4 linked regions of the Alligator mississippiensis genome follow. The protein of the gene in region 3 purifies or fractionates together with the protein of the main gene of each other region. This does not show direct contact. Links are inferred from orthologs where the notes say so. Each region holds a gene or a part of one and is shown on either strand. Other genes may lie near its edges. The genes, in order: PEAK1, ASAP1, CRK and EDC4.

The links.
Region 1: the proteins of CRK (region 3) and PEAK1 purify together in Homo sapiens (affinity purification with mass spectrometry; 4 studies listed by BioGRID and IntAct, with this or other methods). This does not show direct contact. The link is inferred for Alligator mississippiensis from reciprocal best matches to the Homo sapiens genes CRK and PEAK1.
Region 2: the proteins of CRK (region 3) and ASAP1 purify together in Homo sapiens (affinity purification with mass spectrometry; 3 studies listed by BioGRID and IntAct, with this or other methods). This does not show direct contact. The link is inferred for Alligator mississippiensis from reciprocal best matches to the Homo sapiens genes CRK and ASAP1.
Region 4: the proteins of CRK (region 3) and EDC4 purify together in Homo sapiens (affinity purification with mass spectrometry; 3 studies listed by BioGRID and IntAct, with this or other methods). This does not show direct contact. The link is inferred for Alligator mississippiensis from reciprocal best matches to the Homo sapiens genes CRK and EDC4.

The regions. Positions count from the first base shown.
Region 1 is NC_081834.1:29,249,686-29,257,539, reverse strand, and holds the start of PEAK1 (inactive tyrosine-protein kinase PEAK1), read right to left. Parts: upstream 3,094-7,854; 5' UTR 2,957-3,093; intron 2,515-2,956; exon of another isoform or gene 2,422-2,514; intron 1-2,421. Other genes in the region: HMG20A (high mobility group protein 20A), read left to right, coding at 4,740-4,747. UniProt on the Homo sapiens protein: Probable catalytically inactive kinase. Scaffolding protein that regulates the cytoskeleton to control cell spreading and migration by modulating focal adhesion dynamics. Acts as a scaffold for mediating EGFR signaling.
Region 2 is NC_081826.1:16,088,730-16,096,163, reverse strand, and holds the start of ASAP1 (arf-GAP with SH3 domain, ANK repeat and PH domain-containing protein 1), read right to left. Parts: upstream 3,059-7,434; 5' UTR 2,540-3,058; intron 1-2,539. UniProt on the Homo sapiens protein: Possesses phosphatidylinositol 4,5-bisphosphate-dependent GTPase-activating protein activity for ARF1 (ADP ribosylation factor 1) and ARF5 and a lesser activity towards ARF6.
Region 3 is NC_081837.1:283,914-291,358, reverse strand, and holds the start of CRK (adapter molecule crk), read left to right. Parts: upstream 1-4,273; 5' UTR 4,274-4,334; coding exon 4,335-4,578; intron 4,579-5,560; exon of another isoform or gene 5,561-6,615; coding exon of another isoform or gene 6,616-6,691; intron 6,692-7,445. UniProt on the Homo sapiens protein: Involved in cell branching and adhesion mediated by BCAR1-CRK-RAPGEF1 signaling and activation of RAP1.
Region 4 is NC_081833.1:34,088,584-34,096,421, reverse strand, and holds the start of EDC4 (enhancer of mRNA-decapping protein 4), read left to right. Parts: upstream 1-4,735; 5' UTR 4,736-4,798; coding exon 4,799-4,874; intron 4,875-7,838. Other genes in the region: NUTF2 (nuclear transport factor 2), read left to right, coding at 1-89. UniProt on the Homo sapiens protein: In the process of mRNA degradation, seems to play a role in mRNA decapping. Component of a complex containing DCP2 and DCP1A which functions in decapping of ARE-containing mRNAs. Promotes complex formation between DCP1A and DCP2.

The sequences.
Region 1 (7,854 bases), on a different chromosome or scaffold from region 3:
TGGGGTTATTATATACCAGTAATTCAACAGAGAAGAATTATAAAATCCAGATCACAGGTCAGACAAGGTTCCTTGGGTGAATTTGATCTCTTTTTTTAGACCAACCCAAATACTTTCTCCAACTATTTGGGTTGGTCTAATAAAAGATATCAAATTCACCCAAGGAACCTTGTCTGCCTACGTCCTTAGACCAACACGGCTACAACCTAAACCAGATCACAGGTCGGATATTTTCATTCTCATTTTCTATCTTTAATGTCCCTTTTTGTGACAGATATGCTTACAATATTCACATCTGCAATACATCCTCATGAGACAAATTCTCCCTCACCTACAGCCGAGACACTGTATTTCGATATCCCACTAATACAGGAACGTGAACTGTGACACACTGATTGCATATGACGAAGCGGCTCAGCAGGATTCCATCATGAATAGCAACTCAGGAAGTGGAAATAAGTGTGGAAAGTGGCAGTATATATGGAATATCTACTGTATGATCAATGCTTAATAAATTCTTTTGAAATTCTGGCTCCATTCGTAAAGAGCTCAAGAGAAAGTGGACCCAGCAGCCAGACACGCAAAACAAGGCAAAATACTTCAAACCAATGGCAGCAGCAGAAGAGAAAATCTTGTCAAAAAGTGACTAGATTGAAGAGAAGTAAAGAAAAACAATAGTCAAGCCCATCAGATAATGGAGGGGATGTAAAAGGCCACAAATTGAAAGAGGAAAAAACAAAGATACAGAAGCATAAACATAACAATAAAAGAGAAAATGGTCTAGTTTCACCTTGCTTTTGGGAATGTAGTTTTCATGTACCTCTTAAGATGACAGAAACATAATAGCTATTGTTAACATTTCTGATCCTAAACAATAACTTGTGATCACACTGCAGTTCATAATAAAACATTTAATTTTCTCCATTATATCAGAGACCATTAAAGATCTGTTTTGTCCAAATTCTTCTCCCTGTAATGGAGCTAAGCATGAATTTATTGCAATTAATTCAGCTATTTTGTAAGCATATGCATGACTATGCACTTAATTAAAACTCTAGAATGGGAATATATGGAGTTACATAAAAAGAAATCATTTGTGTCACCAAAGGTCTGGAACAGTCCTTTGCACAAGTACATATTATGTGTTTATTTTTTATGTTAAAAACATAATCATTACATCTCTTGATTTAGGGGAGACTCCTTTTACTCAGGCGCTGCGACTTCTCAAAATCATGTCATGCTGTGAAAAAACCAATATATAAGAAATTCAATGGCCTGCATCCCTGCAGGAAACTACCCACAACTTTAACAGCTCGCATATGTGAAATTGTAAATATTAAAAAGAAAAGCTTACTCTGGTTACTAAACTCATTCCTTGGGGTTAAAGTTGTGTTTGTTAAGTACTGGAAGGAAATACATGAAATGCAATGGCAGGCATCATTATGAGTGAGTCAGAGTGATGATAAGTCGCATAAAAAACAGAATCTGGAAATACACTGAAAGGAGCCATCTCCACAGATGCTCTGACAATAAGGTAAACCCATCAAGGAATGAGTACGTAGGATTACTCATGGAAAGTTACTCATGGAAAGTGGATAACTCACTACTTACATACTTCCACACTGCAAAAAGCAACATGAGGTTTTCCTGAAACACACACTACAGCATTAGGTTTGCCAAGAAGATGCTTCATCTGGACAAATCATCAGTTTCTACTTCGGCAAATTAAAAATCTTTCAGGTAATAAAAACTAAAGGTGAAACCAGGGGAAGCCTAGACAAATGACCAAGGAAAACGTTCTTCGTCTTCTACCTTGCTACTTGGGATCGAACTGCAGAACTGACCGACAACCCCTCTCCTTCACCAAAGACAATGACACAAAATTAAATGGACTTAAGTCAGAATAGGTATGACCATCAAGTTTGTAAACTTCTGCACTGTGAAGCCAAGGGAGTTTAAATGGCTTGTGGCAAAACCCATTGTTTAATTTCTAAAATTCCATCTACTGTTTTTAAGGCAAAGGTCTCAAAGCCTCCACCTTGAATTTTAAAACAACTCTCCGGCATCGTTTTAGACAATTCTTCCTGTCAGGCGCCCCCTGACAAGGAGATCCTGCCTAGGTTCACAGGCTCAACCCCCCCCCAAACCAACCCAACAAAAAAACCCACTCAAGAGTTAAGTACTTCAGCAGACATGAATCAACCTTTAAACAGCCAGGGGAAGGGGGGGAGGGGGAGGGGATCAAAGCCCAAAGAAATCTGAGCTGGACAAAACAAAAGCAGCCAAAAAATAAAGCCCCCGATTCACTCCAAGTTGGGAGACGCATCAATGAACGTTTCTCCTCCTGGTGCCAGCTCAAAGAACCGGGCGTCTCGTGCCAGGACCAGCTGCCGGGCAGCCCAGACACTCGCGGGCCCTCACCCCGGCACTGCAAGAGGAGTGAACAGCATCCCGGCCTCCACCCGCCAGCCTGAGGGGAGCCGAGAAGAGCGAGGCACCGTCTGGAGCCAAGCCCCGACGAAGCAACAGCAGCAGCAGCGAAGGGCGGGGGCGGCCTCGGGGTCTCGCTCCGCTCCCGGCGCCCAGGCGGCGGCGGCCGCGTCCACACGCGACACTAACGGCCTCCGCGGCCACGGCGCGCGCGGGCGGGGCACGGGACAAGGCGGCTCCGGTTCGGCGCCCCGGGCCGCGAACAGGGCGCCGGCGGTGGCTCCCGGGCGGGGCGGGGCCGGGCTCGGGGCGCCCGGGACCCTCCGGCCTCGGCCACGAGCAGCCCCGCCTCCGCCTCAACTTGGCAGAGAGGCCGCCGGAGCGGGGGGAAGCCCTCAGCCACTGCCACGACGGCCTCGCACCGCCCGGGCCCCGAGGCAGGGGCGCCCCCGGAGCGGAGCGGAGCGGAACGGGACGGACCCCCCAGCCCCCGCGGGGCACTGCCCTGCCCTGGGCCCCCCAGTACCTGCGCGGGCTCCTGCTGCGCGCGGCGCGGGGCAGGAGCAGGGCGCGCCCGCCCCGGCTGCGCTGCGGCCGAGCCCCGGGTCCGGGACGGAGCGAGCGCCGGAGCCGCGCGCACCACGACTTGCTGCGCCAGCGCCAGCGCCAGCCCCGGCCGCCGCCGCCACCGCGGGCCGGGCCAGCCCCGCCCCCTCCGCCGGGCCAGCCCCGCCCCGCGCCTCGCCGCACCGCGCCCCCCGAGCTCTCTCGGCCCCTGAGCTCAGTTCTGCGCATGCCCGGCTGAAGCCGACGCGACAGCACCTCATCCATTGGCCGGGATGAAGCGCGGTCGGAGCGTTCCGGCCGGAGAGACTACAACTCCCGGCGTGCCCCGCGCGCGCCCCGCCGCCGGCCCCTTTAAAAATGAACTGGTTCCGTTCGTCCCTATGGTGCGAGTGTTCTTCCGTCGTGGTGGGGGGACAAAGTAGTTCTCCGCTCTTTCTTAGTCTCGTTCTTTGCCGTGGTGGAGGGAGTGTCCGGTTCTTTCCGCTTCCTCTCTTGGCCCCCGGAGGAGCTTCCCCACAAGTGAGGCAGAAGTCTGGGAGCGGGGGTGCGAGGGGGCGGAGGGATCCAGGCTAGGGTGAAGTGGCCCGGCCGTGTGGTGGTGTGTAGTGCGAGGAACGCGAGACGCGGCTTCGCGGGGGCAGCCCTCCGGCAGCGGCGGCCGCGCCAGGTCAGTGTGGGTGGCGCTGCCTTGCTCCCCGCGGCCGGGCGGGGCGGGGTGGGGTGAGGTGAGGTGAGGTGAGGGTGGGCTGGGCTGGGCTGGCGGGGGCAGCGCCCCTCTCCGTCCCGCGGCTGGGGACCGGTCTCGTGAGGCCTCGCAGCGTCCCGCGCTCCTTCCCCCCTGCCCGTCTGGGCCCAGCCCGTCCCCCGAGGAGCTGAGGCACCTGGGCCAGGGCCTGCTGTAGGCGAAAGGACGTGGGGAGGAGTCTCCCTCTATGCCCCCATTGAGGGCGACGAGGTGTCAAGGTGGTGGTGATGGGGGTTTACTTTGCCTTTTAGGTTATTAATGCCCCCCACAGTAGGGAGCTTCCTGATAACATCTTCCCCTTGGAAAATCCACTTCAGCGCAATCTGTTCCCTGAACATGAGGGCCTGTCCTCGCCCAAAGGCCTCCAGTGCTCTGCTTTGCCTTGGAGCAGTGCTGCTGGAGCAGGTGTCGTGGCACAGTGGGGTGCTTGAGGTCCCTTCGTGGCACTCGGCAGGATCCTTGTAGTGGTAGCACACGTAGGGGTGGAAATGTGAGGCACAAGATGAGCCCAGCAGTTTCAGATAAGAAACCACAGTGTTTAAAGTGGTTTTGAATGGTTGTAAGTAACTTGGAATGCAACAGAAGAATGTATTATTATTTGTATGCAGGGGTTTAGGTTACAGCCGTGTTGGCCTAAGGACAGGCAGACAAGGTTCCTTGGGTGAATTTGATATTTTATTATTTGTATTATTTTTGTTGGGTTTTTTTGCTTTTTTAATTATCTTTATTTTATTTTTTCTGTATTATTTTTTTCCATAGTCAAAACACGAGTGAAAACTAACCTGATATTTTCCAAGGGGTGCCTTGCATCTAAAAACATTGCATCTAAAAATGCTGAGAATGGCCTGTAGCTGTGTAAACCTGACAAGAACTCGGTCCTTTCACTCTTGCTGTGAACCAGGACTGAAATAAACACAGCTGAGAGTTGTGAGTGTTACAGAGTTGTTGCTTAAGGAAGCTAGGAGCAGCTGCAGCCCCAAGTCTTCAAACAACTTGAATGGAAGAGTGAGTTGTACCAATCTTGTATCAGCCAGAACTTGCAACTTCATAGCAGTCAGGTTGCTCTATGGTGTACAGAGAAAACAAGTGGAAGTGAGAATAATCTGAGAAGGGCCTCAGGTTTAAATTGAGTTCCTTCTGTCTGGAAGTTGACATGAAATGCTGATTCCTATTAGGAATCTACCAGATTCCCAATTCCAGACAAGTTAGACAGTGCCATTCCTACTGGGACTACTGTCTGAAATTGGGTGAAGGGAAGAAAATTATATTTATCACTTCTGTGTAAAGTTAACTGCTTGCTAGTAGGGATCTGATAATTATGCCCCCCCTCCCACCTTCCCCATAACTTTATCCCTCCCTATGTTGCAGATGAGGGAAGATTGAGGCATTTGGGTAGATTAACTTCCTTAAAGACCATATAAGAAATCAGTAACAAAGTTGGGAATAGAACTCCAGAGCTCTGCATGTTCACCAGAGTACACTTACTGTCACTGTAGAATGGTGTGTGATGATTTTTATTTTTTTTTTTAAGTATAAACCAAAAAATATATTGTGAACAGACTTGTTTTCATGATAGCACCTAAGACATTAACAGACCCACATGTGTAGCAATGTGCAGGTTACCTGCTTTTATTCAAAGTGAAAACTCAATATGATTTTTATTTTCATATTTTTTCTAACACTATATTTGCATCGAACATTTGCTGGCAGAAGCAACTGACAACACTAAAAATACTTTGTGTTTTATAGTCTCATCTATCTAATGATTACAAAATACTTTGCAAAAACAGAGATCATAGTTATTTTAAAACAGAAGGAAGTGACATTCCTGTCTCTCTCGGAGTCTCCAATAGATCTGAAGATCGACCTTGGCATGTTTGATCCTAAGGAAAACTATTATTATGGGTAAAGTAGAGGATATGGATTAATCTTAAACATTTCAACCTAGGGTTCAGCAAAAAAGAATCGGGTGCTTTTTTTCATTGTAGAACCAGCTCTATTATCCAGAAGTAGATTCATAGATGTTAGGGTCGGAAGGGACCTCAATAGATCATCGAGTCCGACCCCCTGCATAGGCAGGAAAGAGTGCTGGGTCTAGATGACCCCAGCTAGATGCCTATCTAACCTCCTCTTGAAGACCCCCAGGATAGGGGAGAGCACCACCTCCCTTGGGAGCCCGTTCCAGGCCTTGGCCACTCGAACTGTGAAGAAGTTCTTCCTAATGTCCAGTCAAAATCTGCTCTCTGCTAGCTTGTAGTCATTATTTCTTGTAACCCCTGGGGGCGCCTTGGTGATTAAAGCCTCACCAATTCCCTTCAGTGCCCCCTTGGTGAACTTATAGGCAGCCACAAGGTCGCCTCTCAACCTTCTCTTGTGGAGGCTGAAAAGGTCCAGGTTCTCCAGTCTCTCCTCATAGGGCTTGGTCTGCAAGCCCTTAACCATACGAGTGGCCCTTCTCTGGACCCTCTCCAGGTTATCCGCATCCCTCTTGAAGTGTGGCACCCAGAATTGCATGCAGTACTCCAACTGCAGTCTGACCAGCGCCCGATAGAGGGGAAGTATCACCTCCTTGGATCTATTTGTCATGCATCTGCTGATGCACGATAAAGTGCTATTGGCTTTTCTGATGGCTTCGTCACACTGCCGACTCATGTTCATCTTGGAGTCCACTAGGACTCCAAGATCCCTTTCCACTTCTGTGCCACCCAGCAGGTCATTCCCTAGGCTGCAGGTGTGCCGGACATTTTTCCTTCCTAGGTGTAGCACTTTGCATTTCTCCTTGTTGAACTGCATTCTCTTGTTTTCTGCCCACTTGTCCAACCTGCCCAGGTCCGCTTGCAGCTGTTCCCTGCCCTCCGGCGTGTCCACTTCTCCCCATAGCTTTGTGTCATCTGCAAACTTGGACAGAGTACATTTCACTCCTTCGTCCAAGTCGCTGATGAAGACATTAAAGAGTATTGGTCCCAGGACCGAGCCCTGCGGGACCCCACTGCCCACACCCTTCCAGGTCAAAACCGACCCATCCACCATGACTCTCTGGGTGCGACCCTCTAGCCAATTCGCCAATAGATGTGAAAGATGAAGTGTGTGGACTTGTATTTGGGCCCAGAGGCAATAATCTGGCAAAAAGCCTGATTCATTTAGCATTGCTGGCTGTGCAAGGAGGCTGATTTCTACTAGGTGGGTATCTGCTATCCCTAAGTGGGGCTCACCTTTTTATCGGCATATTTCTTAGAAGGAGGGGGTGGGGGCAGTAGGAATGTAGTCTGGTTTCTAACCTTCTGTCTAGAATGTCATTGCTTCTGTGAAGTAGGAGACCTCCATTTTTCTGTTCTTCATGTTCTTGTTTTTATTCTATCTCTTTCAACTAGGGGTGCACTGATGGTGATTCTTCTTGCGGGGTAGGGGGAGCGACAATACTGATGGCCCACTCTTAACGAGCCATATCAGCCAATATCAATCTGATTGCCAATATGCAGCCCGGCAGCATGGAGAGCAGCATCCGCCTTGTAAGTCTGTTTTGGGGGGAGGGAAGGGATGTGGGGGACTCGGTCTGCCCCCCACACTGCTTCCTTCCCCCATGCCCTTTCCTCCACAACAGACTTACCAACCAGACACTGCTCTTCACACTGTAGACCTGTGCTCCTGGCCACCTGTGTGCTGTGCTGCAGCTGTGCACATGCACGTGGCATTTATTGGCAGCATTATTAACTACATCAGCCAAAAAAAGTCGGTTGCCAATAATGTCAGTTTTCCTTTTATGAATGCTGATATGGTATGGACCAATGTAGTGGTGCAAAGCTATGTTGACAATTTCACTGAAGCTCATAAACTTCTGAATAAAAAGAGAGAAGCTGAGCAGGATATTTGCTTCCCAGCGACATGGCAAAGTTATGATTACCAGAGACTGAGGAGCTATTTTACAAAGGCATCTCTATACTGATACACTTGCTTTGTGCTTGAAAAATTATCTTTTTGACTATTAGAGCTAGAAATACTTATTGTTAACACTTAAATTGAGTAGCAAGGTAAACCTCCTTATTTGCCAAGGCAAGTCAATTATTCAGAGTAGGCGGCAGTTGGAATGCCACTTGAATCTTCTTTCGCTTGTA
Region 2 (7,434 bases), on a different chromosome or scaffold from region 3:
CTCCACTCAGGGTCAGACCAATCATCATATTTGGGTCAGGAAGGAATTTTACCCCATGGTCACATCGGTAGCAGAGGGCACGACCCTCTACCTGGGATCTCTTGAGCATATACTGACAACCTTTTATAGAAGTAGGACATTGGCTGATGTGGTTTTCCTGCCTTACCTGTAGCAGGTTAGGGTATTAGGTCTATGTTGTGTCAGATTGATGGTAGTCTTATGTAGGGTTTAAATTATGGGATGGTTTGGACAGGGATGATCCTGCTTCAGGCAGGGGGTTGGATTAGATGACCTCTGGAGGTCCCTCCCAGCCCTACTTCTCTATGAGTCTATGACTGTCCTGTTCACACATGCCTATAGGTAGCTGGACTGAAACTACTGCATTCTGAATATTTAAAACTAGTATTTTAGTTACTTGTATTTAAAGAAAAATAGCTTTCTGCAGTTGCAGAAAGAGTTCTAAATAATGACTAACGTCCAAATCAAACTAACTCTAAAATATTTGAGGGCTATGTTAAAGAAAAGAAAAGGAAAGGAAGAGAGAGGTCACAATTAAAAAAAGCACACACAAAGAAGTAAAGTTTATGCTTCTACACTTCCTGGTTCTGGGTGTGAGCAAAAGAGGAAATACCAAAATACCACCAGAAAAGCTATTTCCACCGCATTTCCAGCGTAACCCAAACCAGAAAGCACAGAAAAAACACTTATTCTCATTAGATTGTCAACCATATTTTCAAGCCCAAGAGACTGATAAGCCTTTTTCAACATTTAATCTCTGCTCACCCTCTGAATTTTCTGACATTTGACTATCATTAGGGACTTTCTGATTTAGAAATTCATTCATTTCAGGTTCCTACGAGTGTTGTAGATAGGCCAGTTTGGAGATGAGACTATCAACTAATAGCCAAATTAATACATTGTCTTTTCCACACAGCGTTATCACCAAAAATCTAATCTGATATATCCCTATGTGGTTCAGAAGTTCTCACTCACATCCCTCCTTGGTTTCTATTGAGCTGTTCATCTGATTGTAAGTGTCTGTGCAAAGTGTGGTATCTTGACTTTCCATGTATCAAGTAAAGTAGTGATTATTTTCTTTTCAGCATCACAACCTGAATACAAGGAAAACAGCATAGCTGCCAGCTTAATGGAAGGAAAGGAGAAAAGGCTTATCCTGTCAGCCTTGCTTACAGAAATCTGCTGGTGACTTCGACTCACGCTTTCAGGATTCAATCTAAAGTACTGTGCTAGACGTGGGAGGACTAAAAAATGCCATTGTTTAGAACCTCCAAAATCTTCACGGACCTGGATGAAGCACATTAAAGGCAGTTTCCATTTACAAATGCAAAGGAGGCAAAGCATTTTCTCACTTTAAGGTACCCAGAATTTTAATCTGAAAGCTGCCTTACTACCTGAGACCCGCAATATTGAAAATTAAAATTCAGGAAGCTTTCACTATTCCACTGGGAGGACAATGCTGAAGTGTAAATATTTCAAGTAAACTAAAAACTACCTCCAGTGCAACTGTTGCCTAGTATCTAAGCAATTTCTGGGGCACTGTAATCCCCCTGCCACAGCAAAAAAACCCTCAAAGTAATTCAGACAACTTAGAAAGGTTCAGCATCACTAGATACTTATTTCAGGGCACAATAAAATACATTACAACAGGGCAGCTTCTATTGTGGACAGACAACATGCTCACGTGATTTCAATGGGAGATGTGACTTGGTGAGGTCTGCAGGATTGAGCCCTAAGAATTCCTCTTCAATTTTGAGGCCATCAGACCCTGCATTTGTGACTGCGGCTCTATTAAAAATGTATCGCTAATGCCACTCTCATGCACCCTCCTATTCAAAAGCCAAGTTATAAAGTTCATTAAGCCTTATATTTTATTCCAGTTTCAGAAATGATTCGCTGCAGTGTATCTTTAAGTGATTTTCCTACAATACAAAACAGTCCCTTTTTTGGCCCCTAGTAACACACTGCACCCAATTATCACTTTTGCTACTCGTTTTTGGGAAAGATGATAGGAAAAAATTGGCGCATTGATTCTTTTTGCAAAATTCCTTTTAAAACTAGATGAACAATGGCATGCAAAAGGGCCTAGGAGAGATATCTTTACAAGCCAGATATAAAATCCCTATGTTTTTTAAAAGCCTTTGTTGTTAAGATGAAGATATTGTACTATACCAGCAGTGGCCCTAAACCTCCAGGATCTCTTTCTCACAGGAACAATTCTTAAAATTAAGGAGGCTACTCCCGTGAGTAGGGGCTCTTTGGAGGAGGAAGCATTTTCAGAATTGAGTCCACCTGTATGTTTTGCTCAGGTAAAGTTCATTAATGGTTAGCTTGCCCTGCAAACAGCCCGCATGGCACAAAAGTAAAAATGGGCTTTACCAGCATTACTAACAAATCCTAACTCTTCAGTTGCAGGGATCTATGTCTTTGATTAGCGGTTCACACGCTCCCCTTCGGTCACTGTCTCAGCACTAAAGGTTACAATACCAACCACACCTCGGTGCAACGGGCTGGAACTCACCAGGACTTGTGCGGTTTGAATTCCCATTCCAAATTTGCTTCTCAAACCTAAGGCCATTATTCCATCTTAGGCTAAAATATATTCTCCCACAAGCAGCTGAAAGAGACCATGTTTCTTCAGTTATTAATCCCAGTAAGACAAAAAATCAAATCCAGTGCAATCCAATGGAGGAGGATCCACCGAGTTCTGGAGGTTAAAAGTTTTGGTTTGCATCCATGAATGCCCTGAGCGGTGAGAAGACACAGGCACTACAACTGGGAAGAGAGCAGGAAGGAAAGCCAACCATGTGAGCCGCACGAACAAAAAAAGCGTCTGCTCACGGGGCAGCACTTGGGTTGATAGCCAGGATTTCAGGAAATCCAAACACTCAAACAGGAAATCTGAACACTGGATAAACATTCCAGAATCTCCGCAGATACAGTTAACATGCCGCGTCTCCCCTTAACCCTTCCCCTGCTGACAGCCAGAGCTGAAATCAAACCTGCCTTGTAACCTAATCTGTCCAGCGGGGTTCAAAAGTCTAAACAGCTTCTCATTGTGCATTAGCCTGGGCAGCAAACACCCGGCTTAAACCCCTTTTGATTTGAAAACCTAACAGCCGAGAAAGATTCTCCCTCTATTGTTCTTGATTTCTGCACGGCAACGTTTCAGTTAAAAAATGTGCAATTTTTTTTTTTTTAGGTTAGTATTCCTTATTTGACAATGAAATGATATTGCAGTTGAATACTGCAAAAGCAGAATAGTGAAGGTCTGTGCTGCTAAGCATGTTCACTTATTAGTCCTGTGTTTGCTTTATTACCATCTAGATTTTTTTGCGTACTTTTTTCCCCTCTCTTTTGCTGTAACTTCAGATTTCTACAGCTTTTTATGTGTTACTTTCAGGGTACCACTTGATGATTTATTATTCTGCTGACTGCAGCAGAATGGGGGAAGGGCAGTTGAAAAATGAGAGAGAGAGAGAGCTCTTAAAGAAACAGGGAATTAAAAAAATATATATACTTTTACTCCATTTTGTCAGTTACTTTAGGTGCAAACCCTGCAGCCTGTATTAAGGGAAAACTTCAGATGAAACAAGGAGAGTGCTGCCTAAGGAAGGACTTTCCACTTTGTCTTTTGATTTATTTTCCATTGTAAACAAATTACAGCAACAATAAAAACGCCAGCAAGTTGCTGTGGTTCTTGCTTGTGACATCTTTTGGTGTTTTCTGTAGTTATTTTATTTGATTTGGAGAAAATATCAAATTAAGGTTCTCAGCACCCTTATTATTTAAAGACCCTATAAAGTCTTTTGCAAAAGCAGGTGGATAATTGATCCCTGCTTTTGCAAATGCTTATATATGTACTTAACTTTGCGTGTAAGCAATCCCATGGAAATCCATGAACCATTCAAATGGACAAAGCCAAACACATTTGCATTGGCAGGATAGGGACATATTTATGTTTTCTGAAATGTAGCCTTGTGTGAATTCTTTATGTTAATAATTCTTACTTAAGGCAAGGTCATGATGCTATGAATGCCTTGCCTCCCATCTCCTTTACAAGTTCACTTATTTCATTGTAGCTCAAACTATATAACACCTGCCTGAGGTAGCTGGATCTTCCTGAGTCCTTAAAAACGTTACACATGGGAGCTAGCACACTGAATTTCATGTTGCCAGCAAAGGGTACTGGATATAGGAATAATCTGCTCTCATTCATCCACATTATTCAGCAGTGGATAGCCACATTCTGCACCAGCTAGACTGTTCTCTTCTGGAAATCCTATACTCCAGGTATATGTAATATACCTTATATTGTACTATATAGACAGTAAATCCAGGCATCCCAAAGTGATGAGCATGATGGATTTGTCATTTCTTTTAGGTTCAGCTTCTTACTCTGCTTTTTCATAGATTTCATAGATTTCATAGACATTAGGGCTGGAAGGGACCTCGGAAGATCATCGAGTCCAGCCCCCCGCCCAAAGGTCAGGAAGTCAGCTGGGGTCATAGGATCCCAGCAAGATAAGCATCCAGTTTGCTCTTGAAGGTGTTCAATGAAGGCGCTTGAACCACCTCTGGTGGCAGGCTGTTCCAGACCTTAGGGGCTCGGACAGTAAAGAAATTCTTCCTTATGTCCAGCCTGAAATGGTCTTGAAGTAGTTTATGACCATTCGACCTAGTCGTCATCCCTTGGGGCGCTCTGGTGAACAAACGTTCCCCCAGATACTGGTGGTCACCCCGATAAACTTGTAGGTGGCCATCAGATCACCCCTGAGCCTGCGCTTTTCCAGGCTAAAGAGCCCCAGGGCTCTCAGCCTGTCATCGTAGGGTCTGCTTCCCTGACCTCTGATCATGCGCGTGGCTCTTCTCTGGACTCTCTCAAGCTTCTCCACATCCTTTTTGAATTGTATGCTCCATCATGGTTGTATCCAAGTCCTTTTCTGAACAGGCTTGGGGAAGATGCTCTGAAGATGGGTCAAGCCTAGAAGCTCAGTCCTGTCTATTTAGGTAGGTCATTCCATAGCCAGGAACATTTCACCAGAAATATCTTAACTCCAGCCCGGAGTTTCAGTCTAACCATAATTATGAGCACTGTCCCAGAACACGGTTGTTCTGGTGGATCTTGTATGAGAAAGTACCTCCAAGTCCATCCTCCCTTTCCCAGCCCAGAGGGAGCAGCAGTGGGCCCGACAGAAAAGGTGATATGTAGAAAGGTGCTTCCACTTTACTCTTTTCCTCACATTTTCCCAGAGAAAGCAGCTTTGTTTGCTGGCCTGTTTGTGAGTCATGGAAAGTTGAATTCCTCACAACCCCCCATCATTCTTTTCCTATCTGCCAGGATGCCTAAGGCCACTGATATCACTGCCATAAATTAGAGGAGCTGGCACCCACAAGGTCTTGCTGAATTTAAACTTGGAGGGTGGAGCACAGGTTTGCAAAGCTAGACTTTGAAAAAAGGCCCAGAAAGTTGCTCTGTTTGCACATGGCTTGAACTCTAACTAAAGAATCCTTATAAATACATCTCCTAAGAAAACACCAGTTTAGCTTTAGAAATGCAAAGTTTTCATTATGCAGAATGCAGTAGGTGAAAACAAATGCCTAATGGTTTCCTAATGATGTAAGAAGTCGAGCTGGGGGAAAAAAAGCAAAAATGTCTGTGTCCTTTGCATGCCACAATGACTTTATTCACTTTTTTTTCCAAGAAAGTTCTCATTTCCTCAGTTTTCTTCTCACCACCTCTTTTCTTTCCCCCTTTGTTTCTCTGCTCCATGCTTTTAGTGGCAAAAGAAAGACAGGGTAGGATCAAAAACAGCAAAGAAAGACAAGATGGATTGTTCATTTTTCCCATTTTATTGAAAATAAAAACTATTGTTTCTGAAACACTCCCCCTCCACCCCCATTTTCAATCAAAATGCTTTTCATTTGAAAACTATGAGTCAGATGGAAGAAAGCAGTCAGGAAGATGGGGTTATGATGGACTGCTACTAACATCTGCTGTAAATCTGTTAGAGGTCATCTGCATTCTTTTGTAGGCCAGAACTCACTTCAGGGTGAGCAAGGAATAGCAATAAAAAGACAGCTTACTTTAGCCAGTTTTACTGTACACTGGACATGTCTACAAATGCCCGATTGCACAGTTGGTACTGTGCAGTCTTCTAGTGCTTGCTAAGGTACTAAATCCCATGTACTAAATGACTCCGCAGTATCTGCCAGTACTGCGGGGTCCTGGCAGCGCACGGCTCATTTTCAGCCCTACTGCGCAGTAGCTCGTTGCTACAGCACAGTAGCGGTGGTGTCACTGTTAGTGCCCGCTGATGCTACATCACCGTAGCGATGAGCTACATCGCCATAGCTTGTTGCTATGGCGACATAGCATCTCGTGTAGATGTGCCCTTTAAGTACCATTGCTGTTGCTTTTATTTCCAGTATTGAAGCAAATGGTTAGATGCAGGGCTGGTTAGAAAAATAGTTCTCTTTTTTTTCCCCTTGGAAAGTTGCAAAGAAAACAACATTTTCATGCGTTTCTTCTATGGAAAATTTTGATTTGTCAAAAATTAAACCCCAATCAAAATTAACCTTTCAGTCAAAAACTGCTGAAAACCAAACAAGGAAAAAAGAAAATACTGAGAAAAAAGGCTGCTTTCTGTGAATACGTTCATTTGATCAAAGCTTGGTTGGCTATTGGACAGGTGTTACTGGAAAATGTTATGATCAGTTCTAGTCAGATGGAGAAGAGTAAGCTGAATGTTCAATGGAATGATAAATCTGATAAAAACAAATGATAAGGAAATGTCCTGCAAAAACAAAGGTAAAGAAAAATGTGGAAGTGATAACACCGGAACTATGAAACCAAAAGGCAAGGAAAGACTATAAGTGCTGCAGTATCCACTAAAGAAAGGTCTGTTAATTTACTGAACTAGATGAGAAGAGCCTTGACACTAACTTAGAGGCTAGGGATAGAAAATACACATAAACTGGTATATATAATTGGAAACCAGTTCAAATCTGTAACACAATAGAAGTTCAGTGTGCATAAATTGCTTTTACAATGGCCAAAACCAGTTTAAGATAAACCTGGATGGATGTTGTATCAGATTTAACAGATTTAGGTTAAAGCAGTTTATTGAACTTCTCCAGATTCAAGTTGGCTCACAATCCCCCAGCATCCCAGGATGCTTTGCACCTCCCCCACAACCCACCTCTGACAGGGTATGCCGGCTAGCCTTGGCCCAAACTGTCTGCTCCAGGTGAGCAGGGAGGTGTACTCTAGCACCCACCGGCTTCTAGCTTGGGCCACTGCAGGGAGGTGGCTGCATTTCCAGAATCAAAAGTGAATGTCTGTTCACGTGCTTACCGGTTCAATCTACACAGTTTAGACTAACCTGCAAAGATTGAATCAGTTTAGCCTGGGTT
Region 3 (7,445 bases):
CCGGGCTGTAGTAGGGGCCCTCGCATCGCTCTTGTGGGGCTGGGCCTGGGCAGGGGAGAGCCTGGGGCAGGAGCAGTGCAGGGCTGCAGGGCAGGACTGAGGTCTCTTCCGAGGGGAGAGCAGTCCTGGCCACAGGTGCCCAGGAGCAGAGGGCTGGGCCTGCGGGGCATTGACAGGAGCGGGGTCTTTGTGCAGGAGTCCAGGACGAGCAGCGCGCGTCTCTGCTGGGTACAAGTGGGGGCTCAGCCAGGGCCGAGGGGCAGCCGGGAGAAATAGGGGGCTCCAGGACAGGGGTGAGGGGCACCCCGTGCTGGGGGGAGGGGGGCTGAAGGGTAGGATAGCGCTTGTTGGGGGCTTTGCCCCACTCCGCTTCCCCGCCTGGAGCCAGCTTGAAGGACAGGAGGGACGGCAACGCTGAGAAGTTTTCTCAACAAAGTATGTGAATACTCTGCACGCGTGCGCAACGTACGCGTTGTCTGCAAAAGTGAGGACACTGCTGTGTACACAGAAGCGAACATAACGGTGGGGAACGCGTTACACCGCTGCCCCTCGCTACGACGAGTAGCAGGATCCCTGCGGCTGTTACGGTGTGTATTGCGCACGCGCGCCCCCCCCCCCTTCTTGTGTGTGTCACACCCGGGACAGTGCCGAGTTCTTGGACGTCCATCTCGGAGCGGCACGTGCTCTGCGCCGCGGGCCCGCAGCCGGGCGCCAGAGCCGGCGGGAAGTCTCGCACGGCTGACCCCCGACGGCGGGCTTCCGCGTCGTTTTCTCTTTAAAATAGAGAAAATCAGCGCACGTCTTGTTAGCAGCGATTCGCCTCCCCTCCCCCGGCCGCGCCGGCGGAACGGGCCCGCGGGGATCGGAGTCGGACCAATGGGCACACGGACAGTGACACTCTCACCAATCCCAAACTCCAAATAGACCGCGGAGAAGGCGGGAGACCACCTGGGCCCGCCTCCTCCGGCAGAGGCCAATCAGAGCAAAGAAGGGCGGAGCGGCTCTGACCCCTCCCATGCGGCCGCTCCACCCAATCGCCTCACGCCTCGCTGTAGCCAATGGAAACGCGAGGCTGCGATCCCGGCCCTGCCGCGCTCCCCACGGGCCGTGTGTCCTCCCCGAGCAGCGCGACGCCGCCTGCCCCGGCCGCGGGCCCTGCCCCCGAGCCAGCCAGCGAGCGACGCCTTCTTGCTTCTTCCCTCCCCGCCGGGATCTCCCGCCTGCCCGAGCTGCAGGGGCGCGGCCGGAGCCGCTTCACTCTCGGTCCCCGCCCGTGTCTCCCGGCTGCAGCGCGCGGTGCGCGCCACGGGGCGGCAGCACTGAGCGCGCTCTGGTTTCTCCGGCTGTTCGCTGGCTGCCGGGCCCAGGGCGGCGCTCCGGGCCGGGGTGCCGTGCCCCGACCCCCGGCCGCCAAGCGCCGTGCGAAACATGCGCCGAAGGCACCGAGCCGCTTCCCGCCCTGCTGCCCCGCTGCCGCGCGCGGGGCGGGGCGGGGCGGGGCGCGGCGCGGCGCGGCGCAGGACGGCAGCACGGCGGGGTTGGTTGAACACTGCAGGGAGGGATGCGGGACACGGGACTGACGGACCCGGCCCCTGCCCCTGCCCGTCTAAACACGTGGCGAGGCGCAGGCGCCGTGGCATTAGGAGAGCTAAGCGGTTCCCTCCCCTCAGCGCGGAGACGGGGCGCGGCGCTCGGCTCACGCTGTTCGCTGCGGCGCGTCCTGCGCACACGCGGAGTGCAGATCTCGGGACACACGTCGCTGGCACACACTGCTCTGTCTAGGTGCAAGGTCGTCGAGTGCACAGCGCCGAGCACTGGCGCTTCAGTGCCCTGCTCCCCACATGTCACACCGCGGTCCCAAGGCCGCGCTAGAGCTGGGCTGAAGCGAGGCCTGCAGTGTTTTCCAAACAGCCACGGGCTGTCCTGTACCTTAGAAAAGAGGCAGCATCGGGCCGGGAGCGGGACACGCGCGGCCTCCGGGCCATGGGGCGTCCCCGCCCCTCCCTTGCCAGCCCGGCACTGCCTTCTCCGCGCCCGCCGGTCAGCTGAAGGGCGCCGCGGGGGATCGGAGTTGGACCAATCGGCAGGCAGAGCTATGCACACTGTCAATACAGCACAATAGCCAATCAGAATGTGGCCCAGGAGGGCGCGTTCCTCTCCCCGCCTTTTCTCTCCGCACAAACCAATCAGAGCGAAATAGGAACGGAGCCGTCCTAGTCCCGCCCACACAACCCTCGTAGCCAATCACCGCATTCACCTCTGCCAGGTGCCCGCCCGGGTCTCCCCGCCGCAATGCCCCGCGCGGCCACAGGAGGGCGGCTCTGAGCCCGGCTTTTCCTCCGCCTTCACGGACTGCGCCAATGCGCCGACGGGACCACAGGAGGGCAGCACCGAGCAGCGGGTTCGTCAACCCTCTGCTGCTCCGCTCCTTGTGGCTGCAGTGCTCGGAGCGCACCACCGGGGGGCAGCACTGAGCCGGGTTTGTCTTCACACCAAGTGCGGATGCGCGAGACACCTGTGATACCCGCACTCACTACAGACACTCGTGTGCGGTGGTGTGCAAGGGTGAGAGAGGAACACCTACATCACTATCGCCACTGAGAGAGACAGAGAGCGGTAGGAATAGGATCACTGTGTTACACACACGCTATGTCCATGCCGGTACACCCCCGTACTGCACTCCTCTCTGCACAATGTAAGTTCTTCAAAGTAAGCGCCGCAATGACCAACGCCGTCACTGCACCCCTGCTCTCAGTATTGGACTGCTCTACACCAAAGGGCCCAAACTCTCCCTAGAAGTGAACCGAGGTTTCCATTTTATTTTCCCGTTAAGAAGGGGTAATTTGGTGCTTTGCAGGGTGCTCTCCAGGGAGGTCTCGGCGTCAGCGCAGAAGCGAACGGTGTCCGCGGGGCCCACGTGCACCCCGTCGGTCACCGCCCTTCTGGCGTTGGTCTGTGAGAGCCTGGCTGCCCGCGCCCGGGGTCGCAGGGTCCCGCACGACCCGCCCTGGGCGCCAGAGCAGCTGCCGCAGCGCTGCGGGCCCGCCCGCGGGGGCCCGGCCCGGCCCGGCCCGGCAGCGGGACGTGGGCTCCGGCTCAGCGGGCGGCGAACGCGCCGGGCTGGGGCGCTGGGGATCGCAGTCGCCCAACATTTCCCGACAGCCAATCAGAATGAAAGCAAGGGGCGGGCGAGCCCTCAGGGCCCGCCTCCTCTGGTAGAAGCCAATCAGAGCGAAGCTGAGCTCTCCCGTGCGCCTTTCCGAGTGACTCGCAGCTCTGCTGACAAAGACAGCGCCCAACGGGAGCACGAGGCTCGGATCCGGCCCTGCCGCGCTCCCCGGCCGGGATCCATGCCCGAGAATCGTGCGTCCGCCCCGAGCAGCGCGAGCCGCGCCGGCCCCGCCCGCGGGCACTGCTCCGGTGACGCCCCGAGCGAGCGCGGCCTTTTTCCTCTTCTCTCTCCGCCCCTGCCCCGGCCGCACCGCGCAGCGCAGCGCAGCGCAGCGAGACGCACAGCCCGGCGCGCTGTCTCTCCGCCCTCGCCCCTGGCTGCAGTGCCCGGCGCGCGTCACGCGAGGGCAGCACCGAGCAGGGTTTTAGTTCCCTGGCTTTTGTTCCCGGCTGCAGGGGCGCGTTTGTGCCACAGGAGGGCGGCGCGGAGCCGGCTTTCGTGCTCTGCTCTGGTGGCCCGGTTGCAGTGGGCGGGGTGCGGCCCAGGAGGGCAGCACCGGGAGGGGTTTGGTTTGGTTTGGTTTTGACCACGCTACGCGGATGCATGAGTCCAAACCAGTTCGGTGTGTATGAAGTGCAGCTATTAAAATACACTGAGCTGCAAAGATCATATTTGACTACCTAAAGCGATTCCCCTTGTTGCGGAAGGAGGAGGAGAGAGGGATAGATCGGCAGGATCACTGTGTTTATTGTGGCACGTGCTGTCATGCATCCCTCGCTACTAGACACATCTCGGCACAGTTTCAAGTTCTTCAAAATAAGCGCGCCGTCAGTCAGCACGGGACTCTTGTACAGAAAGCATCCCCAGCTGCCCACTAGCATTGAGCCGCAGGGATTTCTTCCAGTTCTCACTGAACAGCAACGGGCTGGTTTTCATTTCTTTCTTTCTGTAAAGAAGGGGGACTGAAAAAGACCTTCCCGCCTGGACCGCGGACCACGTGGCCGAACCGGGCCATGCCCCCGCCCCTTGGAGCCACCGCGCACAGAGATGACGTTGAGCGCTGGCGCGCGACACGTCACTTCCGGAAGGTGAGGTCAGCAGAGGCGCCGCCATTTTGGGTGGCGGGCGGGCGCGCGGAGGGCCGGGCCGCGGCGCAGGGCCTATGGCCGGGCAGTTCGACTGCGAGGACCGGGCGAGCTGGTACTGGGGGCGGCTGAGCCGGGCCGAGGCGGTGTCGCTGCTGCAGGGGCAGCGCCACGGCACCTTCCTGGTGCGCGACTCGGGCACCATCCCCGGCGACTTCGTGCTGTCGGTGTCCGAGAGCTCGCGCGTCTCGCACTACATCGTCAACAGCCTGGGGCCGGCGGGCGGGCGGCGCGCGGGCGGAGAGGGCCCCGGCGCCCCCGGTGAGTGCGGGCTGCGGGGGGGTCGCGGGCTGCGCTCAGGCCGCGTCGCCCGGCCCCGGCCGCGCTCCCCCGCCCCGCCCCGCCCTGCCCTGCCCTGCCCTGCCCTGCCCCGAGCGGAGCGGAGCGGAGCGGAGCGCGGCCCCGACCCTGCCGCCTCCTGGCGCGGCGCGGCCAGCCTGCGGCGCTACCTGGCCTCGGGCGGGTGCGGGCGGCCTAAACCAGGAGACACGGGGCCAGTCTTCCTGCTGCGCCTGGGGGCCGGGCCGGGCCGGGCCGGGCCGGGGCGGGTGGCGCCGAGGCCCTCGCTTGAGGTAGGTGGCCTGAGGCGACCCGAGCTCCGACATTGCCACCCGATCCAGGCCCCAGCCGTCCCCCCGGGGCCCGGGAAGGAACAGCAGCATTTACGGAGTTTAAAATCTGGTGTTTATCTAAAGGGAAATTGAACAGGAAAATTCAAAAGTTAATTCAAATGTCCTTCCAAAGTTGATATTTGAAGAGAAATTGAATTGGACCTTCCTGGAAAAGAGTTGTATTGCGTTCTTTTTTCAGATCGGGGCCGTGACCGTGATGAGTTTTATGATTTCTTTAAGGGGCGCTTTGAGATGCAGTATGGCAAAGTTGGATGCGATTTGAAAAAAAATAGCCAAGTAATATTTAGCTACAGCATGAGGAACACGCCTCGTCTGTGGGTATCTCACGGTAACGATGTTTGCGGGGAACGCCGGCTTGCTGCCGGGTCACGCGCTGGGCGCAGGCTCGGTCCGGTGCGGCTGGTAACACGATCCCCGTGTCTGTATAAACAGGAACATGGAATAGGAGACGTCTTACCTGGGTGTGTGGCAGCAGTAGAAGCATAGCATACAACGTAGTTCTAGTGTTCGCATTGAAAAAAGGAGTAGAAAAATTGGGACCTTTTGGAGGAGCGATTACAAAGGCTGGATACTAGCCTTTATTTATTTATTTATTTTTTTACAAAAAAGTGTGTGTGTGTGTGTGTGTGGGGTGGGGGGGGATATATTCTGTATTTCCAGCAATAACACACTGAACACACTGTTGAAGTTGACCTGGCGTATACGTTGTTTTGAAAAGAGAGTATTGACTGTGTTCAGGAAAATTAAGTTAGATATGGGTACGTTGCTTAGTCTGTTGAGCCTATTGTCTTTTGCTTTGTGGCATGCATAACATTTGATTTGTAGGATTTATAGTAATTTGGTAACAGATTTGTGATTCGTATACTTTGTAAGGCTGGTTGGGACCTCACTTTTCCAGCTCTAGCTTTTCCCTCGTTTATCTTGACTACAGAAAAAATAATAAGTAGAGTAGTTCTTCTGTTGCAAAGAACTCAGACCATAGCAAGTCAGGGGTTTAATGCAGTGGATCCTTATGTGAAATCTCTGGGTTTATCTCGTGAATCATGTTTGTACACCTGAGAGTGTTAATGTGTGGCAACCTGCATCACCCTTGAAAAGAGCTCGAGGCAACCCAGGGTGCTGCAGCACCCCAGTTGAAAACCACTGGGGTAGAGAGTGGGATTTTAAAAGGTACAGTTGAAGAGCACTGGTCCCACTATTGAGTTCCTAAGTGACTTAGGCAAGCTTTGGAAGTTCAGTCAATGTGTTCAGGACCTTGAATAACCATCCTGTGGTGGTGTGCATTGCACAACACTGGCTAAAACTTCTTTTATTTTGCATATGGGCAGTTCCATTTAACAAAGTGAGATTACTTATGTGTAGGTCTTCCCATGTTTGAGGTTTGGAACCTTTCTTCCTTTTTGTGTCTTTGTGACAAGGTATTTAGCAGAGCTCTCAGATTCACTGCGATCTGGCAGGTTGCACGATGAGAACTTCTGCTCGGGCCTTGAAGTTGTGGTCTCTGGGCTGTCAACTGTGGGCCTTGGCACCCACACTGCCCCAGGGCTTGGAGTACAGCTTGTTAAGCGTTTAAAAGGCCACGCATCAGAAACTAACTCTGCTTCTGCCCCCTACTCTTCCGGAAGTGGATAGCACGATGCATCTCTTTTTGTAAACTAGTTTCCTAATGTGTTTACAAATCTGCTCAGGAGGTGTTGGGTTGTTACACGCTTTCAGCAGGGTAATGAGTAGATCTCTGCTAGGTAAGGAAATGAGTTTATGTTGCCAAATGTATAGTAGTAATTTCTTTATTTGTAGCTGCCTTTCCAGTTTGAAAAATTCCCTTTAATATCAGCAGATCATGTTTGCGTATCACATTGTTTATGATGCTTCATACTAAAAGTATATTTAAAACAAAAAAAGTTGGACTTTGAGGGGTCACGTGTTTTTTGAGATCTATTTAACAATACAGATACAAAAACTAATGAATAGAATAGCCAAAATCTATTAAAGAATGGATTTATTCTAGCTCATCATGAGAGCAAGAGAAATGATTGATGAAAATTGAAAAGCAGCTCTATGAAATAATGTTCTCTTGTCTTTCTAGGCTGCAGCTTCGTTTTTCAGTCATATTGAGTAATTACTGCATCTGCTCATTTCCAAAGTATTATTAATGATGGGAGGATGCAATATGTCCTAAAAAAATAATAGCATTTTGGTGTGCATAGTCGTAACAATTGTCCACTGACTTTTCAGGATGCTCTCTTGAAGCATTGCTTTGTCTCGTATGCTGTAAACTTCCTGTCCCACCTGTTTGCAAGATTGCACTATCTTGTTCTCCTCAAGAATCTGGCACTGTCGGGAGAAGTGTTGAGATCAAGGGAGAGAGAGATCTCATGCTAGTGCAGACATGCATGCACATGATTTGAAGGCAACACATTCTGAGGGGCAATGAGTCTATGTACAAAGAGTTCTAGGTGCTGCTGGAGAAAATTACCCTAATTAACTCCTAAGTGA
Region 4 (7,838 bases), on a different chromosome or scaffold from region 3:
TCCACCAGATGTTTCTATTAAAGAACATCAACGATGCCTGGGTTTGCACCAATGACATGTTCAGGCTAGCGTTGCACAACTTTGGCTGAGCTGGCATCCCCCAGGCACCAGTGCTTTCTTTCTCTTCTCCTCTTCCTGATATTATTCACACTCACGGAACATTCCAAATATCATACACAAACCTGCAACACCGCAGCGAGTGAGTGAGCAAGACCTGTGATCTGCCCTTCTGCTGAGTTTACATTGTCACTAGATGAGTTCCTTGTGCATGATGTTTGGAAGTTAGACTTAGCTGCATTTGACAAGAGAAATTTGTGTTGTACCAGCATGCCTCGGAAAGAATCCATAATGCAAAAGGTTGCTTGTTTATGTACTGACAAGTTGCTTTAGTAACCCAAAGAAATGAAAGGAAAGAACAGCAGCCTATACAGCCCAGATATTCATTTGTTCAGATGTTTCAATGCTACATTACACAATAAAACCATGAGATTTTCTTAACAGTTTAAATTGTTTTAATGAGTGCATAACTGTAAATTTTTACAGTCAATTCTTTGGTTCTCCCGTGTCTGCCTCTCTGGGAAATGTTTACAGATCTAAAACCCTTGTAACCTTTTAGTGCTAACAGAACACTCCATCCATGTTTTACTGTTGCAGGTTAGGGCAAATATGCCTTTGCCATAGATATAGATATCTTCTCTTCCCTATCCCCCTCAGCGTGGAGGCTTTGGGCTCAAATGTTGATATTCCCCTTTAAAATACTCGATTTTGAAGTTTTTTCTTTAATATATTAATCTTTCTACATAAAACAGAAGATAATGCATAATCTTGACAATCCTGGTGACTTGCATAAGTTGATATCTGTCATAACACTTGCTGTGATGTCAGTCATTGCCAAGCCTTCCCTGCTAAATATGCCAGCAGTATTTCCCCTGTGTTTAAACACTGGGTAATATAACTTCCAACTTCCTTAATTGTCTGTAGAACCTTGAGGGGGTTTCTGGTTCCTTTTTCAAAATTGCATTTAGCTTCAGTGTCCTGGCTAAATTCCTGTTCTGGTTTAGCTTATCTAAACCTGTCCTGCAGTTTTGAGCTGGGTATGGCATTCTTTGTACTCTGTCCTAAACCAGTGCATAGTGTTCTTAATATTATGCAGCCAGCTGCTACATGTTGCCCCAAGGGTGGCAGCATTTCACTAGTGAAGTGCATTTATCAAGTATGTTTATATTTTCCAAGATAAAAAAGTGCCACATAAATAGGATTGGATTCTTCACTTCATAGCTGAATAGCCTGCTGGTTCCAGATTTCAAGGGCTCAGTATGCCCAGCTTGGTCTGATTTTTTTTTTTTTTTTTTTTTTCCAAAAGTGCACAGAACTCTGCAGTTTTGACTTTTAAGAAGCCAAGAAAACTCAGTATGATGTGCTTAGCTGCTCAATTCCTGAATTTCTGGCCGCTTAATTTGGTGTCTAAATTGGAGTTGAGCTTTCATGAAAACTGATCTTGGGGCTCTCTAAAATGATATAAATGTACTGTCTTTGTTTTTAGTAGTATTAGCAGTAACTTGCTCTTCTATTCCTCACTGTCTGTTTGAAAGTTAAATGGAAATAGAATACTGAATTTCCTATTATGCTCGTTTGGCATAGAAATAATTCACAGTGTTAATCCCTCCAAGGAATTAGTCCTTAAGAGAAAGATCCATATAAACAAAAGAGCCATTCTTTGTGGTCAGGAGCTACTGGAAAAGCCTTCTTTATGGTATTAGCCTCCAGTTCCAAATGCTTCCAGTCCACTCTGGAATCTGAGGGAGAAGGTCTGACTCTCCAGTCAAACCTGGTCTGCAGAAAGATCTTGTCCACCAAGCCTGGTTGGTTCCTGAGCATCAGCAACCAACTCGATGATTAAGAGCATGTGAGTAGATTAAATACCAGAGTTGAGGGATGCCCCTGATGGGTCTTTTAAAAAAAAAATCTCTCAGTATATGACCTCTTGTTCCTGGCAGCCTTTCTGACCTTCAGAGAAGAGAGCTATTAGCTGCCCTTTGAAGCTTCTTGCATAACATTATACTTTTCCCTTTCTCCACGTTCTGCTGTTCAGCCCTGGTTCGCTAACCAGAGGAGACATAAGTGCCAATTTTACTTCCTAAGTGAGCCAATGCTGCATAAAATGCTTCTGGGAAACCAGTGCATTCCTCGAGCCCTTAGTATGCGGACAAACTTGCTGTCTCTTAGTAACTGCTTCAGCTCAAGGACTTCTTTTAAGAAGAGAAGCCATTTGGTCCAACATTAACTGTTGTATTGATGGGTCATGCACTAGTATCCATTTCTCGTCGCAAATGTTGGACTGAAGACTAGTCACTTTCAAATGTTAAGAAGGCTTTTAAGAGGGATAGGGACAAGTAAAGTTGCTGCCCCTTTTAATTCTCTTAGGTGGGAGAAGGTTGAATTCTTTATACCTGAGATTCTTATTCTAAGCAGCCTGTCTTGTCCTGCCCACACTGAATGAGATTTGGAGCCATCTCATGCTTAGCTGGGCTGGAACATCATGTTGGCCTTAATATTAGCAGTGTTAATAGCCATATTAAAAAGGTGCCTTAAGAAAACTCCTTGAATGTGATTCTTGCAGGCATTGGGCACTCCACCTACTCCCATGTGTTGGCTAGAGGATGGGCAAGGGAAGACCATTTTCTCTGCATCTAAGACGGGAATGACTAGCTTATGTTTGCAATTAACTTCTCATTGTGAATATTACCCTCCAACCCTAGTGTATTTATAGTTTATTTTTCTTGATGGCAATTATGTACTGCAGTTGCAGGCAGTATAGATAAATATCTAGATTTGTCTTGGCTAGGGAAAATGAGTTCTGATCCTGGCCCAAACTGAAGGGGGAGAATTTTTAAGGTAGCCTGCACCATATACTTGAAATTTCTTCAGTTGTGGAAAATGGCACCCAAGAGGCATTGTGAAAAAGCTGTGCCAAATGTATGACCACCTGGCCCGGTCTATTAGCTATCATGCCAGAGCTGCTTTTTTGTGAATGGACTGGAAAGCCTTTATGCTTTTTGTCACAAATAGGATGACTACGTTACCTCTCTCTAAGCTAATACTTCAAATGTGACCCTCCTTCAGAATACCTCTGGGTCATTATTTCTGTCCACTAGATGTAAAAATAAAATGTTACCAAGAGTTTTGCTTATGTATTACTGAATAAAACTTGGCAGTAGGTGTCGGGAGAGAGCTTACACAGTACCATATGGAGGGCATTCTACATACTTAGAGGAAAACATCTTTGTAAAATTGTAGACAATATTCAGCAATAGCTTTGCAGGTAATATCAGGTGAACAGTTATGTGGAGTAAAATTATACATTTAATATAAACTATTGTATGATGTTGGCTTGTTCTGATTGTACCTGTGACAAATGTGTTAATAAAGATTTCTTTAACAAATGTTACTTGCTTGAGCCCAAGCCTAGAAAGTAGAGGTCAAATTATGGCTGGGACCCGGCACTCAAAAAACCAGAGAAGACTTGAGAACCATTCAGTGGAGCTGTAATGGAACATTCCTATCTTTGGGTACTAACTGAAAGGTAACTAAACCTAACGACCCTTGCCAGCTCACCCTCCTTCCTTCCCAACCCCTGTGCTTGGAAGGATGCTGTTAAAGTCATGCCAGTTCTGTAGCAGGCCAAATTTGTTCTGAGTACCTGAAATTCTTGTTAAGGGAAGATCTCAGATCTCCCCAAATGCATTAAATGTGGCTTTCTTTCCTGAACTGTAGTTGTAGGGACAGCAGCTGCCGTCTGTGCTTTCAAACTGTATTGGGTGGGAGAGCTTTCTTCTAATGGAAGCCAGCTGTTGTTTTTCACTCCCTCAAGAGCAGCCAGAAGCCTTCCTGCAACGTTGTCTTGACACACGCTTCAGTACATCCCTTCCTTCCTGCAGTATGGCCCACAGTGGTAAACCTGGTCAGTGCTGTGAATTTCATGCTAAGTGCCATGTGACATTAATAAGGTGTCTGGCATAACTGAAGGTTAAGCACAAGCAAGTAATTTTTAACTCAGCCAGAAGCAGCAAGTGAAAGCAGGCCAGGGTACTGCATCCTGTATCCTCTAGCCCTTGCCTACTACAATCAAAGTAGGCAAGGGCTGAGGCGAAAGCAAAGTGGTATCTATCTGAGATCATAGTATTCCCTGCTACTTTGGTTGGAGGAAGATGGGTTCTGGTTAGGTCCCAAGTGAGCTGAAAGTAGGTTCTGGGAGCAAACCTCCACCCTTGGCTCTACGATGAGGAGGTCAGATGTACATGTCCTGGGGCAGAGATGCTTCTGTGCAGCTGGGAGGTGGCAGCCCATTAGGACAAGGAGAAAAGAGGTCAACTGAGAAAATGGCACTAAGGTTTCCTCCCAGCCCCAGAGCAGAGGGAGGCTCCCGGTGCGGGCCTGGTCTCCCAGGGGAAGCCGAACCGCAAAGAGCGGCGCAGGCCTCCTGCAGGGAGGCAGGACCCGGGAGCCGCTCTTTTTCTTTGGCGGCGGTTTCCACGGGCTGAGGCGGTCACGGGCTCCGACTCGGACGCCTCGAGCTGCCGAGGGAGATGCAGCTTTTGCCGCCCGCAGGCAGGGCTCGGCCCGCCGGCTCCGCTCCTTCCCGCCGCCAGGCCAGGGCCGCGCTGCCCAGGCCCCGCCCCCTCGCGCGGAACCCGAGGCGCTGGCGCCCGTTTCCGTCGGAGCCGCGGCTAACGGACCGGAAGCGGAAGTGGGGGCGCGGCCGGGGGCGCGGAGCGGCGGCAGCGGTAGGGCTGGGCCCATGGCCTCCGCCAGCATCGACATCGAGGACGCGACCCAGCACCTGCGCGACATCCTCAAGCTGGACCGGCCCGGAGGTGAGGCTGCTGGGCCGGGCCGGGCCGGGCCGGGCACGCGGCGCCCCTGTGCGAAAGTGGGGCTGGAGCCCGCCGGCCGGGGCAGGGCGCGGCCGCCGCGGGCCGGGGCCGGCCCTCGGGCATCCCTGCGCCCCGCGGGACTGCTCGCTCCCCGCGCCCCGCCTGTGGCGGCCCCGCGAGCCGAAGACTGCTCGTCCCCTCGCCGGCGGCGGCAGGAGCCTGCAGCGGTCCCTCCCTGCCGCCCCGGGGGGAGGAGTGAGGCGGGGAGGGGCTCCCCCGGGTCCAGCAGCCTAAACGTGCTCCCCGGGAGGTTGTGGGTCCCTCTGTAAACTGTGGTCCGGCCCGGTCTGGTTCCCAGGCCAGTCCCTCAACTAGGCCTTGCCCAAACAGTCGCTGGCTGAGAGCAGCCACCCTGGGCAGGGGTCTGATTCCCTTCTCTGGACCCAGTCACGCAGGTTAGGGAGCACTTGGCATTTTTGACTTGCACTGCCCCATTATTGATGTGGCCAGAACGCAGCCCCCAGGAGGCTCTCTCTTGCCCTCGTTTCAGAGGCTCAGTCCTCCAGGGCCCCTGCCCAGCTTGCAGCACTTCATCCCTGGGCATCAGCGTGCCAGCACGGGCCTCCATGGGGAACATCTTGTGTGTCCGACCATCCTGCTGCACATGGCAGAAAACCTCACTGGCCAGGTCCCATGGCAAGTTTGGTCAACATGTGTTTACATGACGAGCTATTTACTTTCATTCAAATCAAATTACAGGAGCCCCCCTCGCAGGCTGCCAGCCTGGATCTCGGAGGGCTGTTGTGGGTGGGGAGGAGAGACGGGGGCAAGAAGCTTTGAAATGTTGAGCTGCAGGTACTGTTTTCTGTACTTCAAGCCTCATTAGATTTCTTAGCTCAGTTTGAAAGTTAAAATAAATAGTGAAAGAAAGAAGAGTGTTAAACCCTTGGTTCATCTTCCTCTCAGCAGCTCTCTATCAGCTTTCTCTGGCTTTGTAAGTGGTGAGGCCTACCTTGGTTTAATAGTACCTGTTATGTTTCTGACGCTTTGCTACTTGACAGGGCCCTCGTGTGACTGTCACTCAGCTGCCTTAGAAGTTTCTAATTCCATACACAGTGGGCACGTCTACACAAGATAATGAGCAGTAGACTAATTCTACTGCACATTAGCACATCATGGCAAAAGCTGCGCTAATGCGCAATAGTATTAGTCTGCTGCATATTAAGCATCATGAAAAGACCGTGCACCGATGCTACTGTGCAATAGCAAAGGTTACTGTGCATTTAGTTAGTACTTCATATTCCAGGTACTAAACTTAATGCACAGTAACAATAACGTATTACTCCACGTGCAGAGGCACCCAGTGTTGTCCAGGTTGCAGGCTCAGAACAGTGGTCTGAATGAGTAGATTATGTTCAAGCCATTTATAACACTTCCGTTTTGTTGTGTAGTTATATCCATTGTAGTTGTTCTTGAACCATGCTCAAGCTTTAGACTGTCCACCTATTTGGAAATTATTTGTCTTCCTGATCTAGGCGAAGACTCTTCTTATTCCATTACCCTGATAAGAGCATTTGATGCTTAATCTATGTACATGGGCAGTAGCAGCCCTGGCAACTTTGCTTTCCTCTTTAGTCTCATGGGCTGAATCTTCACCCCTTTGATGTAGCCATGGAGAGCAGGTTACACTACCTGGTCCGTACACAAAAGGTGAGCAGGAAATATGAGGACAGAATTAAGATTGGCTAACAGAGAATTTCCTGGTTTTCATTTTTTGTCTTCACTTTTGAGAGTTTGCAGGGGAGTTTCTTTTCTTACCAGTCTGATGATGTGATTGGATTGTTAGCCCAAGGATAGTCTGAAATAGAGCCTTCATTAGAATTAACCCCTTGTATTCTGGAATGGGGAATGTGATGCCCTCTGATTCCCTTTCACTTACTTCTTTATAGGTTGTTTTCTGTGAGGTACAGTAGCTGTAAGCAAGTGCTGCTCCAGTAGCTCAGATGCTCCTGGTTCATAATTCCCATTCTGTTTTCAGGCTCTTTACTGGATTGTCTGGATGGGCCACTTAGTCTCTCTGGAATTGTCCCTCTGTTCCCATGATGGATTGTTCACTGTACCCTCTTTAGTCCTGCTTATCTGAAGAAATCTGATCTCTGTCTCAAATCTTTCTTTCTGTTCTCTCCCAAAGCAGGAACAATCATCTGCATTGCCTGCTGAGTGATCCCACCGGTCAATCATGTGTTGAGTGAATGTATTTATTTATTTACCCACAAAAGTGTTTTGTAACACATTGAAACCGTTCTTTGTGGTTAGTTAGGGTGAATTCATCTCAGCTTTTTTTGGTTATTTTAAATGTCTTCTTTTTGTCTTTGGTTTCTTAAGCAGGCCCAGGGTTACAGTGCCATTTTTTTAAAATCTCTCTCTCTCCTCTATTGCAACAAATTTATAACTGCAGAACTGTCTCTGCCTCTTACACTAAAACCAGGTTCATTCTACTATCACTGTAGTGGCAAGTATCTGCTCCATCAAGGGCCTAGAGAGAGGGCCTGGATTTTGAAAAGAAGGTATGTTCCATAGTTATCTAAAACTGCTTCTCTTGTTTCAGGTGGCCTGGCTGTTTCCTAAAGTACGAAGAAACTTCTGGTGGGAGCCAAGAAACTGATTTAGGACTATGGTTATTCTGTCGTTCTCATCTCTCTTCCATCGTAATTATTATTCCTCCTCCTTAGGTCTTATTTTCTCTCTGTGTTCGCAGACATCTCTACTTATTTCCATCTTATGTCTGTTTACATCTCTGGCCTGTCTTCTCCAAAATATTTCTAAAAGTAAATGCTAGTTGCCTTGCCCTGGAGTTGGATGGAATAAATTTGCTATCTGCTAAGCAATGGTTTTGTTAGGGAAACCCTGTAGGTGTCAACTGGATGTTAAGAAACTGGTAATAGAACCAGAATCTGCCTCTTT